Schizosaccharomyces pombe: one gene and its partner. Changing the gene in region 2 together with the main gene of any one other region gives a genetic interaction. Each region holds a gene or a part of one and is shown on either strand. Other genes may lie near its edges.

What was found. A genetic interaction does not mean that the proteins touch.
Region 1: of nhe1 (region 2) and trk1, changing one enhances a phenotype caused by changing the other (phenotypic enhancement), as found in Schizosaccharomyces pombe (one study listed by BioGRID).

Annotation. Positions count from the first base shown.
Region 1 is NC_003424.3:2,816,340-2,823,473, reverse strand, and holds trk1 (plasma membrane potassium ion transmembrane transporter Trk1), read left to right. Parts: upstream 1-2,402; 5' UTR 2,403-2,692; coding exon 2,693-5,218; 3' UTR 5,219-5,288; coding exon of another isoform or gene 5,289-5,396; 3' UTR 5,397-5,436; downstream 5,437-7,134. Other genes in the region: glycine--tRNA (Gly) ligase Grs1, read right to left, coding at 30-1,988; MCM complex subunit Mcm5, read right to left, coding at 5,289-5,396, 5,437-5,809, 5,851-7,134. UniProt on the Schizosaccharomyces pombe protein: Together with TRK2, defines the major, high-affinity potassium influx transport system. Involved in maintenance of the proper sodium/potassium ratio in the cell and in regulating the plasma membrane potential.
Region 2 is NC_003424.3:49,090-54,987, forward strand, and holds nhe1 (plasma membrane/prospore membrane sodium ion/proton antiporter Nhe1/Sod2), read left to right. Parts: upstream 1-2,899; 5' UTR 2,900-3,027; coding exon 3,028-3,151; exon of another isoform or gene 3,152-3,228; coding exon 3,229-4,511; 3' UTR 4,512-4,769; downstream 4,770-5,898. UniProt on the Schizosaccharomyces pombe protein: Sodium export from cell, takes up external protons in exchange for internal sodium ions. Involved in regulation of pH.

The DNA.
Region 1 (7,134 bases), 2.8 Mb from region 2:
CTTTCCAGTATACTAGTGAGTTAAGTAACCTATTCTTGTGTAGACTTAAACTCTCCAAACTTAGCTAGTGCATCTTCAAAAGATGATTTTCCCTCGACCATAGAAACAAGAGCAGCAATAACTTCATCTTGACTACCACGAACTTGCTTAGTAGAATCACGTTCGCGAAGTGTAATAGTTTCGTTTTGAAGAGTCTCAAAGTCTACAGTCAACCCGAAGGGAGTTCCCAATTCATCGTTACGAGCATAGCGACGGCCAATATTGGCATTAGAATCGTCTATTTTATTAGAAATGCCAAGATTGCGAAGTTTGGCAGACAATTTCTTTACAAAAGGAGCGAACTCAGCATTGCGGCTCAAAGGAACAATGAGGGCCTTAATAGGTGCGATAGAAGCAGGGAAGGACAAAACACCACGGTTTACGTCTTCTGGTCTAGTCCAATAAGCATGTTCCATGAGTACATACAAGATTCTGCCTAATCCAAAGGATGGCTCGATAACATTAGGAGTATAAGTACGAATGTGTTCAGTATGCTTTCTCTTCTCAATTGTGACGAGATCAGATTCTACTGTATGCTCAACACCATTAACATTAACAATAATTTTACCTTCAGCAACAAGTTGAGCACTTTTTTCAACTTTTTCCGATTCCGGCCACGAAATCATAGCTTCCTCAACAGCCTTGGCATCACGTTTGAAACGTGGACCAAATTTTTTGCGATTAACTTCAACCTCGAATTGTTCAACAACAACAGGTTCAGGAAGAGCCTCTTGAACTACTAAAGGAGTCTTGGTAGCTTTACTGTGAACGCTAAGATCATAGGCACTACGATCAGCGCAACCTACACACTCGATCCAGCCGTAAGAGCATTGAATTTCGGCATCCCAGCAATCGCAAGCATAATGAGCCATTTCATTGCTCATATGTTGCCTAAAACGAACACGGTTCATATCAATACCAATTTTCTCCAAGAATAAGCTGATACGGGCCATAAAATAACCTAATGTAGTGTTATCAACAATTCCTTTCTTGACAGCATCACCTATGGGCATTTCCAAAATGTCAGTCTTTCCTTCTAATTGGACACCACGGGGCAACAAACGAAGGGGCATATGAGAAACCTCGTCAAATCTATCATGCTCTTTGTTTTTAGGATCGACAAAGTGTTCGACTTCGGCCATCAAAAACTCACGAACACGAAGCAGGCCACTCCGAGGAGAAATCTCATTACGGAAGGCTTTACCAACCATAGCACTGGCAAAGGGAACTTTGCCGTTATTAAACTCCAATAAACGGCTAAAGTTTAAAAATTGTCCTTGGGCAGTTTCAGGTCGGAGGTAACCTTTCAGACCACCACTGGGACCAATTTGAGTTTCAAACATTAAGTTGAACTGACGAGGGGTTTCAAGCTCACCGTTGGTTGCAGGGTTACGAATGTCATACTTCTTCATGAGCTCACCTAATTGATCTCCATCATAGTTGTCAATTTGGGCAAGAATAAACTCGTATTCCTCAACAGTCTTGTCATCCAGACGAGTCGCACGAATTTCCTTTACCTTCTTCTTACGCTTCTTCTTGTCATCAGATTCTTCAGGCTGGTCATTGGAATTCTGCCCACGAGCTTCCTTGTCACCCTTCAAACGGGCTTCCAAAACCTCTTCAACCAAGTGGTCGGCACGAAAGATTTCACCGGTAGCAGGGTCCTTACACATCCAATCTGCAAACTTATCAACATGCCCACTAGTCTTCAAAACTTCATGAGGAGTAAGCATGGAGCAATCAACCTCCAGCATGCTTTCTTCGATAACAAAGTGCTTTCGCCAAATATCAACCAGATTAGATTGAAGTGCACTACCTGGTGGGCCATAATCATACAATCCACTAATTCCACCATAGATTTGAAAAGAAGGAGAGAAGAAGAATCTCTTCTTCATTAACTCCTCGAACTGAGTTCGATCAAAAGCTGCTGCCTTTGAAACTTCTGTCATTTTTCTACTGAAAATCCGTTTAGCAAAGGCTGTGCAAGAAGAACGAAACGCTTGAAAAGAAATTATGCAAGCAAGGAGCGAAAAGCTTTAAAATGCCTGCTTTTCGCCTGGTTTTCAAATGTTTACGGAAGATAAACTGTTCAAAGCTAGAAATTTTGCTAGTTCGTAAAATTCATAGATAGTGCATTTTGTTAGGCTACATCAATTCATATTATGCGTTGTTATGCGAACTTTTGGACTTTCCTTAATTTAAATACGGTACCTGTAAAAAGTACTTGAACACTCTAAATCTTGTTAACATTTTTTACGGAACAACAACGATTTATGTTAAAGATCGTCAACAATCTCACTTCACTGCCCAAAGCGTACAACATGGTCGAAGTATAGGCTGAAACTTTGAACCGCTTAGAAACTACCTTCTACGGGAAAGAAGACGCGATTTTACGTTGTATTATAAGAGAGGAATCCTCAAGTATTGTTGAAAGGAATCGTCAAAGATTGGGTAAAAATGTCGTTTGTCATTTGTCATAATTCCCTTTTAGAAATTTAGTGGTTTCCTCATCAGTATCGCTTTTACCCGTAGATTTCAAAACTAATTGCTTCTTATCTTGTCCATAGTTAAGGATTTCCGTTAACTTCAAACCAATTTCTCTGTTTCTTGTTCTGTTGTTGGTGGGTTTGGCTGGAAGTATTGACTAAAATAAATGGTCCTAAATTACATTCAAAGATGGTTCAAGTGGGTGATACCAACTTTTGGATTCTTGGCAATTCATTATATTTACATTATATCCTTAACTATCATTGCCTCTATCCTACTTTTTACCGGAGGGACCACCACGAAAATCAAGTATATCGATGCTTTATTCTTAGCTAGCAGCGCAACTACCCAAACAGGCCTTAACAGTGTTGACTTAAATTCTTTATCTATCTGGCAGCAGTTTATCCTGTATGGATTTACTGCTATTACGGTTCCTATATGGATGCACGGAAGTATTTCCTTCATCCGGCTGTATTGGTTTCGACGAAAATTTAAAGACGTTGTTCGTCAAAATCGTACTCGAAAATTTCAGAGAAAGCTCCGTAAAAGCTTAATGAAAAAAAGCGAGGATGACGAAGAACAGGGTGTTCGTGGTAGAAAAATTCGTGTAATGTTACCATACCTACATTCACTAAGGAGTCCAACGTCTCTAAAAAACTTCTCGAGATTTGACACGCATGACAGTACGAACAATCCGTACTTTCCTGACAACCCCCCTTCTCCCAAGGCAGATATATCTAAAGACGAGTATTTTGGAAAGTATCTCCCAAAAAAGTCTGATACGCTAGACATGGATTTGGAAAGTCACAACATGACTTTTCATGACTATGAACCTTCCATTGAAAATAAAAATTACGATTTTGGTAGTTCGCATTCAGCCTCGATGCAAATGTATGAAATGGATGACCTTCATCCCCGACTTCGTAGACAAAGCTCTTTTATTTCCTCCGTTAATCCTTTAGAGGCTGACGACACCCGTGAAACTTTATCTGAAGGCGCCTTAGTTCAGGAATCTCTCCCTATGGCTTATAGTTATTCTGATACTAATTTGGTTGTATCGAGGGATTCATTTACTCTCACTGGGGACGACAATCTTTTCCCAGAAGGTGGTTTAAGGCCTGCCAATACAATAGACGGAATAGTAAGGTCGTCTCTGTCTTCTTCCTCCCTATCTAAAGACACTGAACCATCGACAGTTGACATGCATATTGCTTTCACCGGACTTAATAAGCCCACCATAGAGCGTGAACGTAATCTTAAACTTAGAAAAAAAAGTCGTTTTTATAAAAAATCTTTACGTTCCAGATTTTCGCGAGGACTTCATCGTCCAATACGTTGGACAAAGTCATTCACTTCTAACCGACGAAACTTGACTCTTGAACGAGTCCTTTCTTCTGCCTTTGCTAAAAAACGTGAGCCTTCTATTTCATCAAGACACACTACTATGTCACTTCCCTATTTGTCGTATAATCCTACTGTCGATCGTAATTCTGCTTTCGTTGCTTTGTCTAAAGAACAGCGGGACGAGCTGGGTGGAATTGAATATAGAGCTTTGAAATGCGTCTGCTCCATGGTTACCCTTTATTTTATCATTTTTAATATTGCTGCCTTTGTGACCTTCATTGTTTTTGCTTATACGGCAGTGGGATCGCGAGAGGTAATAGATTCTTATGACTTACGTCGTGGGTGGTGGGCGTTATTCTCGTCTGCTTCTTCATTTAATGATTTGGGGTTTTCTTTAATACCATCGTCTTTTGTGCCAATGAATCGAAACATTTTTCTTTTGTTGATTTCATCTTTATTCATTATCGCAGGTAACACGGGATTCCCTTGTTTTTTTAGAACATTCATTTGGACAACGTATAAGCTATACCCTTTTAGTTTTGAGAAGAAAGAAGCTATGGCATTTCTCCTTGATCATCCTCGACGATGTTTCACTTTATTGTTTCCATCTGGAGCAACCTGGGTCTTGTTTTTTGTTTTGCTGCTGCTTAATGTCATTGATCTGGTATTGTTCATGGTCTTAGATACTGGAAGTAAAGCAGTCGCTAGCCTTCCTAAAGGTATTAGGGTTGTAAATGCAATATTTCAATCAGTTTGTACAAGAACCGCAGGATTCACGAGTGTATCAATTAGTGAACTTCACCCAGCAGTACTGGTCAGTTACATGGTTATGATGTATATTTCTGTTTATCCAGTTGCTATCAACATGAGAAATACCAATGTTTATGAGGAGCGATCTTTGGGTGTTTACAGAACTGAAGATGATGAGGGGAAATCTTTCTTAAAAGATCACCTTACTGAACAATTAAGTTACGATTTATGGTATATTTTTCTAGGGCTATTCATCATATGCATTTGTGAAGGAGGTAAAATCTCCAATCCTCTAGATACCGATTTCAGTATTTTTACTGTCCTTTTTGAAGTAGTCTCTGCTTACGGTACGGTGGGACTTAGTACTGGATTAAGCTCCTCAAATTGTTCACTTTCAGCAAGATTTACTACTATAAGTAAACTAGTTATTATAGCACTTGAACTGCGCGGTAGACATAGAGGTTTACCCAGGGCTGTTGATCGAGCCATCCTTCTTCCTTCTGAAAAAAATAATCTGAAAGAAGAAGAAGATTATCAACGTCGTCACGGATTTTCCATAGACAACGCACGTGGCAGTATTGCAGTTTCTCGAGACTGATATTTCTTATCACGATCATGTATTATATTTGTAAATTATATCATCTAATAAATAGTACGCTCGCTAAATTTCATACTCCTGATCGATACACCGTTTGTCCGCCATTTCTGAGTTGAATTGTTTCCTTCGACGAAAGAATTTGTAAAGCCATTTCTAACGCGTGTTGTGAATATCCATGCTAAAATTATGTTAGACTTAGATTTAATCAATAAACATACCCCATTTACGTATTCTCGTATAAGCATACGGTAACTCGCCTGAAACCCTATAGGTAACCTTTTTCTTAAGCTGGCTTCAATTTTTTTTACTTCCTCAGTAACTTCAGGCGAACTTTGTGTAGCAGCAGCAAGTGTACTGGTCAAAAACAGTCGAATCGCTTCAGTAGCGTGAGCTTCAGAAGCAATAGGTGATAATGACATTTTTGCAAGGGATTCAGTAATTCGTATGATTGCCTCTAATTGACGAACAGTGATTGGAATGGTAGAACGCGAGTTACTGTCCTGCTCTGACTGATGAACACGTTTTCGAATTGCGACAAATTGACTAGATAGCTTTTCAGCTGCCTCTGCATCAAGATTAGGTGCACATTTGCTAAATCCATTAGTAACTAATATTAAATTTGGTATACTTACTGTCTACAATAGTTTATGTACCGCCGAAACTTATCAAAAGGAATTTCTCCAATTGCTAAAGTCTCACTAGATTCTTGTAAATTGGTATGAAGATTAATAACGTGACGGGCAATATTTCGATCCTTTGTTTCATCATGTTCATCCTTAACAATAAATATCATGTCGAATCTTGAAAGAATCGTAGATTGAAAATCAATGTTTTCACCTGGTGTCTTCATATCATCGTATCGGCCAAAAATTGGATTAGCAGCAGCTAAAACGGATGTCCTAGAATTCAATATAGTAGTGATACCGGCTTTAGCTATTGAAATAGTTTGTTGCTCCATTGCTTCGTGAATAGCAACACGATCTTCATCCCTCATTTTATCAAATTCATCAATACAGACAATGCCACCATCAGCAAGAACCATTGCGCCACCTTCAAGGTAAAATTCTCTGGTAACTGAGTCTCTTTGAATAGAAGCAGTCAAACCAGCAGCACTTGAACCTTTACCGGAAGTATAAACAGCGATGGGGGCCAGTCGCTCAACGAATTTCAAAAATTGAGATTTCGCAGTACCAGGATCACCAAGAAGTAAAACATTAATGTCACCACGAAGGCGCATACCATCGGGGAGAATTTTTTTAGAACCTGAAAAAAGTAGGCATGCAATAGCTTTCTTGATGTCTACATTACCATAAATAGCGGGAGATATGCTGTTGGATATAATATCGTACAAATTCGGAGTACGAGAAATTTCAAGGAACTCCTCTTCTTCCTCTTCACTAAATAAAGGAGTAGATTTAGAGCCATCATTTGAATCCATTTGAATACCCACGACTCTGATATAAGGGTTCCGAATGGCCACGGCACCACTAGCTTTAACAGACTTATTTTGAAAAATAGAAAAAATGCCAGTAATAACGCAGCGGGTTCCCGGAGTAATTTGGTTAGTTAAATAGCGATCAGCATTCAATAATATATGACGAGGCAACTCACCGACAGGAACCATATCAGGAGCTTCCTGTAGTTTAAGCACCTGCTGATCGATAAAAGTCGATTTTGAATGATCAATAATGAAAGGATCCATCGGGCAGTCTTTTTTTTCACCATCGAGAACAGGAGCTTCACAAACTCTAGGAAGCTGAACACCTGAAAATCCACCAGAAATCTGTAAAATCCTGGTAGCCCTACAATTTCTGCATACTAAGTGCAAAGCAGTTGCACGGCAGGAAAGTGTTGAAGCACCGATGATGATACCAGGCACTCTAACCAGTTTTGAGATATGAGAAGCTGTCAGGTTA
Region 2 (5,898 bases):
TAGATCTCTCTTGAATTGTTTGTTTTACTGTATCTTTCCGAAACAGTACATAAGGTTGTAACTTTTCCACACTAATTTCCTAATCATCGTTATGCACAAAACATTTAGCTGAACAAAGTTTGATAGTTTTTGTATGGCAGCTTGTGATGCCTTTTTATTTGTTCTACTTTTTCTTCAAGTTGGAGATGAAATCGTGTAAGTTAATGATTAGTTTATTCTAGTTTTATGCATCGTATTTCATCAATCATCTGTCTGATCAATCGTTAACTTACTGTAGTTTTTATATTCTCATCCCACCCCTTACCAAAACCTAAGAATTATAATCATTTACAAAAATATGCTGGTAAATTATATTCGATATTGTTTCAAATTGATTGATGGAATGAGTGTAACCAATTTTACTTCGGGCTTATTTTAAAGTGTTAGTGATTATATTTATATTTATTCTATTTTGGATTATTGTTTTTTTCATTGGCTTGATTGAAAAATAAACAATTTTATTCAATATTCTTTACCGTCAATCGTTATTTAGTATCGCTTTCCTACTGCCTTTCTGCTTCTTGACATTATGCGATACCAACATAAACTTTACAAACAATTGCACCTCTTGTCACTTTTGTTTTAGAAATGTGTAGCTTGAACGATGCCTGCCCGGTTACACAGCATAGATTACATTGTATTTTACAACGGATTTACGTATTCTAGCACAAGTTAAATAATGTTTTGCAAGGTTGATTACAACACTTAAGACGTATTGTAGTACGCCTTGCGTTTTGTTCTATGTTTATTTTTCTCTGTTTGACTTTTTAAATAAACAATTTCATATAAATCTGGCTATTTGCGAGGCGCCGCAAAGAGTGAACGGGAAAACGCTGTATGGAAAATATTGTTATTATGCAACGTATAATTTATTAAGCAGTATAATAATTATTTTTGTTGGAGATAAATAGTATAATAGTGCGCGGTTTCGCAAGTGCAGATTTAATTTCGCTGCTCGTTTATGACCTTTTTTATTTTCAAGTAACATTTTGACATATGCAGATAAACTTTAGTTGTCTATACATGCGTCAGTTGGCCAAGTTACTCATCCGCGATACTTCAGCGTGATTTGTTACACAATAAGAGTAAAATTGTAGAGTAGAATTCGTATTTTCCTATTTATTTATATCTATTTTATCGGTCATTTTATCTACTCGCTTTTTTTTTAATATCATATTTTTAGCAATGCCATTTACAGCTTTTTTTCACCGCCAAGATAAGTCTTGTATTCAAACAGCGTTGCTTATCGAAGCTCCTACTTTTTGAATGCTGAAATGCAGTACAAACGTTCAGTAATAGTACCAAATAAATCTTTGTACGTTGGATACTCTAGTACTGTACCATCAGGCTACGTTACCAAATGATGAATGTGCATTCAGAAATATTATAGCCACGATGCTAAGCTCGTACTTTAGGTGAAAGACATGTTTCATTAAACATATCAGGCCCTCTTCACTATCGAAATTCTTATGTCTTTGGACCAATTGATAAGGTTTACAATCCTGTATCATTAGGTACAGTGGGTTAACTAGCTAGTGTACTAGATGACATGCAATCAACAGCGCTTTTAAAGAAATATTTAAAAATGACATTTCTTTATTACTATAAAAAAATAAAAAGAATTGTATAAAGTCTCGGTTGTTATCCTCTTAAATTAATTAGCTCAATGGCAGATATTACAATATACGAAAAATTCAGTGACCAATCTGTTGGGTACGATTAGGGCTGACCTCATCAAATTATAGTCTCGTTTGTTCAAGCTAAGTAAAAAATTAGGCTTGCTTTACAGCGAAAATAATATATATTCATATATAACAACGGTTTATTGTTTAAAGGCTAGAAGTAATGAAAATCGTCTTTTATAAAAGTCTAAATAGTATGAAATTTGATATTAAGTAAGCGAGTGGCCTTAAACGCTCTATATTCTGGATCTGCAACTCATGGGGTGAGACTCGGTTGTGTCTATGTAACTAACCTTGCCACCACATTGTGCATGAAAGCAAATGATTCATTTAAACGTAAAGTGTTTCTCGTTTTATTTGACATGAAAGGAGCTCTTGAATTCTTCCTAAGTTGTTCATGAGGAGAAATTGTCCACTGAAAAAGAACAAGTTCAAACATTCGCTCATGACTTTTCTCCTGCCCGTAATCGAAATACCAAATTCCTTCTGTGTTCGGTAGTCAATACCTTGGCCGTTATCTCATCAATTAACAAGTTTCCCCCACCAATGTGATTATAGGCCTGGCAATTCCTTTGACAGAACGTGTCAACTGGATATTTGTGTAATTTCGTCGTTCTCGTTAATCCCATACAGTTTTTCATTGCTAATTTAACTCTACATATGGTTGAATTACAAGAGTGCTTGTTTTATGCTCACTACTTCCTTTTTTAAGTAGTATAAAAGATTGACTTCTGTTACACTAGTAATCAAATCCTATAGAAAGAATTTTCAATATTTTTGATTTATTGCCACTTATGTCATATTGAGATAAAATGCCTTAATCCAATCAGGTCTTTTTAGCTAAGTTATAATCAAAGCTTTTTGCTGCCGAGGTATTAATAGCTTACAAGTGAGTACACAACACCCTTTCAATCAATTTAATGGTGCTAAATTTATATAAACATACGATGTATAACAATCGCACAATATTTACAATTCACTATCCTGCTAAAATTGTATAAAAAAAAATAATATAACAGCCCACCTCAAATGTGCTTAATCAGTCTCAGTGAATTTAAAATTGAATAGTTACTTAAAAGGCATGTTTTTTAAGTTGATAAGCGTTAAAACCCAAGTAACAAGCTTTGTTACTCCAATCAAAAAGATAACTAAGGTACCCCGGTCCTCAAGTATAAACCACAGGCATGCACGCATCAGTCCGTGGCTAACTGTATCTTTTGCCACATTTTATGTCGAATACTCTAAAAAAAATATTATAGGAATTTATTACAAGAAAACATTCTCTTGTGGATATTGCCTAATTACTATGGGCTGGAGACAACTTGATATAGACAAAGTCCATTTAGCTTTAATAGTGGCCGGGGGATTTATAACATTTTTCTGCTATTTTTCAGAAGTTTTTCGAAAAAAATTACTAGTTGGAGAAGCTGGTACGTTGAAGATATTGTATAGGGTGGTTTTTGAAAATTAGCAATTGATATAAAATAAGACTAATACTAGTGTGTAGTTCTTGGAAGTATCACTGGATTAATATTTGGGCCTCATGCTGCTAAACTCGTAGACCCTTTTTCCTGGGGTGACCATGGAGATTACTTGACAGTAGAGATTTGTAGAATCGTACTTGATGTGCGTGTGTTTGCTTCTGCAATAGAACTCCCCGGTGCATATTTTCAACATAATTTTCGAAGCATCATTGTAATGCTATTACCAGTTATGGCTTACGGGTGGTTAGTTACAGCTGGATTTGCATATGCATTGTTTCCACAAATTAACTTTTTAGGATCTTTGCTGATCGCAGGATGTATAACTTCTACTGATCCTGTTCTATCAGCATTGATTGTAGGAGAAGGTCCATTAGCTAAAAAGACTCCTGAACGGATTCGGTCTTTATTGATCGCTGAGTCTGGATGTAATGATGGAATGGCGGTTCCTTTTTTCTATTTTGCTATCAAACTTCTTACTGTTAAGCCATCGAGGAATGCAGGGAGGGATTGGGTGCTGCTTGTTGTGTTGTATGAATGTGCATTTGGTATATTTTTTGGGTGTGTAATAGGGTATCTTTTATCGTTCATTTTAAAGCACGCTCAGAAATACCGTTTAATTGATGCTATTAGTTATTATTCCCTTCCGCTAGCGATACCTTTATTATGTTCTGGGATAGGAACTATTATTGGAGTTGATGACCTGTTGATGTCCTTTTTTGCTGGAATATTATTTAACTGGAATGATTTATTTTCCAAAAATATATCTGCTTGTTCTGTACCTGCTTTTATTGATCAGACTTTTAGTTTACTATTTTTTACCTATTATGGTACAATCATTCCCTGGAATAATTTTAATTGGTCTGTTGAAGGCTTGCCTGTTTGGCGTTTAATTGTCTTTAGCATATTGACTCTAGTTTGTCGTCGATTACCGGTTGTATTTTCGGTGAAGCCTTTAGTTCCGGACATTAAGACATGGAAAGAAGCCCTTTTCGTTGGACATTTCGGACCAATAGGGGTTTGCGCAGTTTATATGGCATTTCTTGCAAAATTACTGTTGTCCCCGGATGAAATTGAAAAGAGTATTTATGAATCAACTACAGTATTTTCAACACTTAATGAAATAATTTGGCCGATCATTTCGTTTGTTATCTTATCCTCAATCATTGTTCATGGTTTCAGTATCCATGTATTAGTGATTTGGGGAAAGTTAAAAAGTCTGTATTTAAATCGAAAAGTCACCAAGTCCGATTCCGATTTGGAGTTACAAGTAATAGGGGTTGATAAGTCACAGGAAGATTACGTTTAGGAAAGCTCTTTTAATGTCAATTCGGATTTCCAAATTATTTTCAAATGTATTGTGAATCGCTGTCTCTGGTCAAAAAGATTACTGCACTCATATTTTGAAATTCCTTCTATAGTTGATATATACTATAAGATAAGTGATTCTCAGAATCACAAGGCTAACCACCAACAGGGATGGAGTGTATATTTTTGTTGTACATATATATTATCTACAATAGAGTAATTTTCGGCTTCTATAATTCATTTATTTTCTTACTACTCTAAAAATATTGTATAATTTCTAAAACTGATCAAGATACTGAGAAAAGTACAAATCGTTATTTAATTTGTAATTTATTTTGATGGCTAAAACTTACCAATATTCGTTCGCTTCAAACAATACCAATCTTACGAAACACCTTACGCTTCATCAAAGTCTACTTTGGATCACCTAATATTTTATTATTTGTTGTTGTAATTATACAAACTAATACTATTTTATGTAAGAAACTAAGAAAACGGAAAATCAATAGCTACTTTGTGTATATAAATAGCAATCAAATTAAAACTTGATAAATCTCACCTACTAAAACACATCAACGTACTTCAAAGGGCCTAACTACTATAAGACTTGGTAATATTTAAATAGTGTTTCTATTAGTAGGTAGCTTCAAAGTATGTATAAAGCTTTTGGAAGTAGATGAAGTATTGAATATCTCCTCCTAGATCAGTTATTAACTAAGTACGACTGAACCGGTGCTCCCAATTTAGTTGCAATCTATTTAGATGAGCTAGAATATAATTACACAGTAATCGGTATGGACTGAGTTTTAGCACCAATAAATTCTCACTAAACATAACTTCATCCCAAATATATACATATGTTTTGCAGAGAAACACCCCGCAGTTTATCATATCGTAAATGTCAGCAATATTACAATACGTTATGACTCTACGTTGCGTTATATGCCACATGTTCTATTTGCTCTATCAACTGTAAATAATAAGTTATCAAGATAAATTTATTACCATTTATGGTAAGAAACTATCAGTTAAAATTATAGCTTTTTCAAGCTCTATAAATAGAGATCAATTGAACCTAGTTCCTCAGTTCAGTTATTAGCTATAGGGATATCGGTGATCGATACAAATACTCGTTATTATAATAATTATAATAGTGTTATTTGAACATATTGCATATCGCTGTATTGTAGGTCGCAAGAAAAACTCACCGCAATTCAATGAATCGTTAAACAGATACCAAACTGCGTAGCTGACATAGGGAAGTTTTAAAAAGTACGTAATACTCTAACGATGTAGTAGTTGCAAGTAAAATAGCAACAAAAAAAAACGATGCACTTCAAAGAAGCGCTTACATTTTTAATTACAAGCAAGTTACATTTCAACGCTGG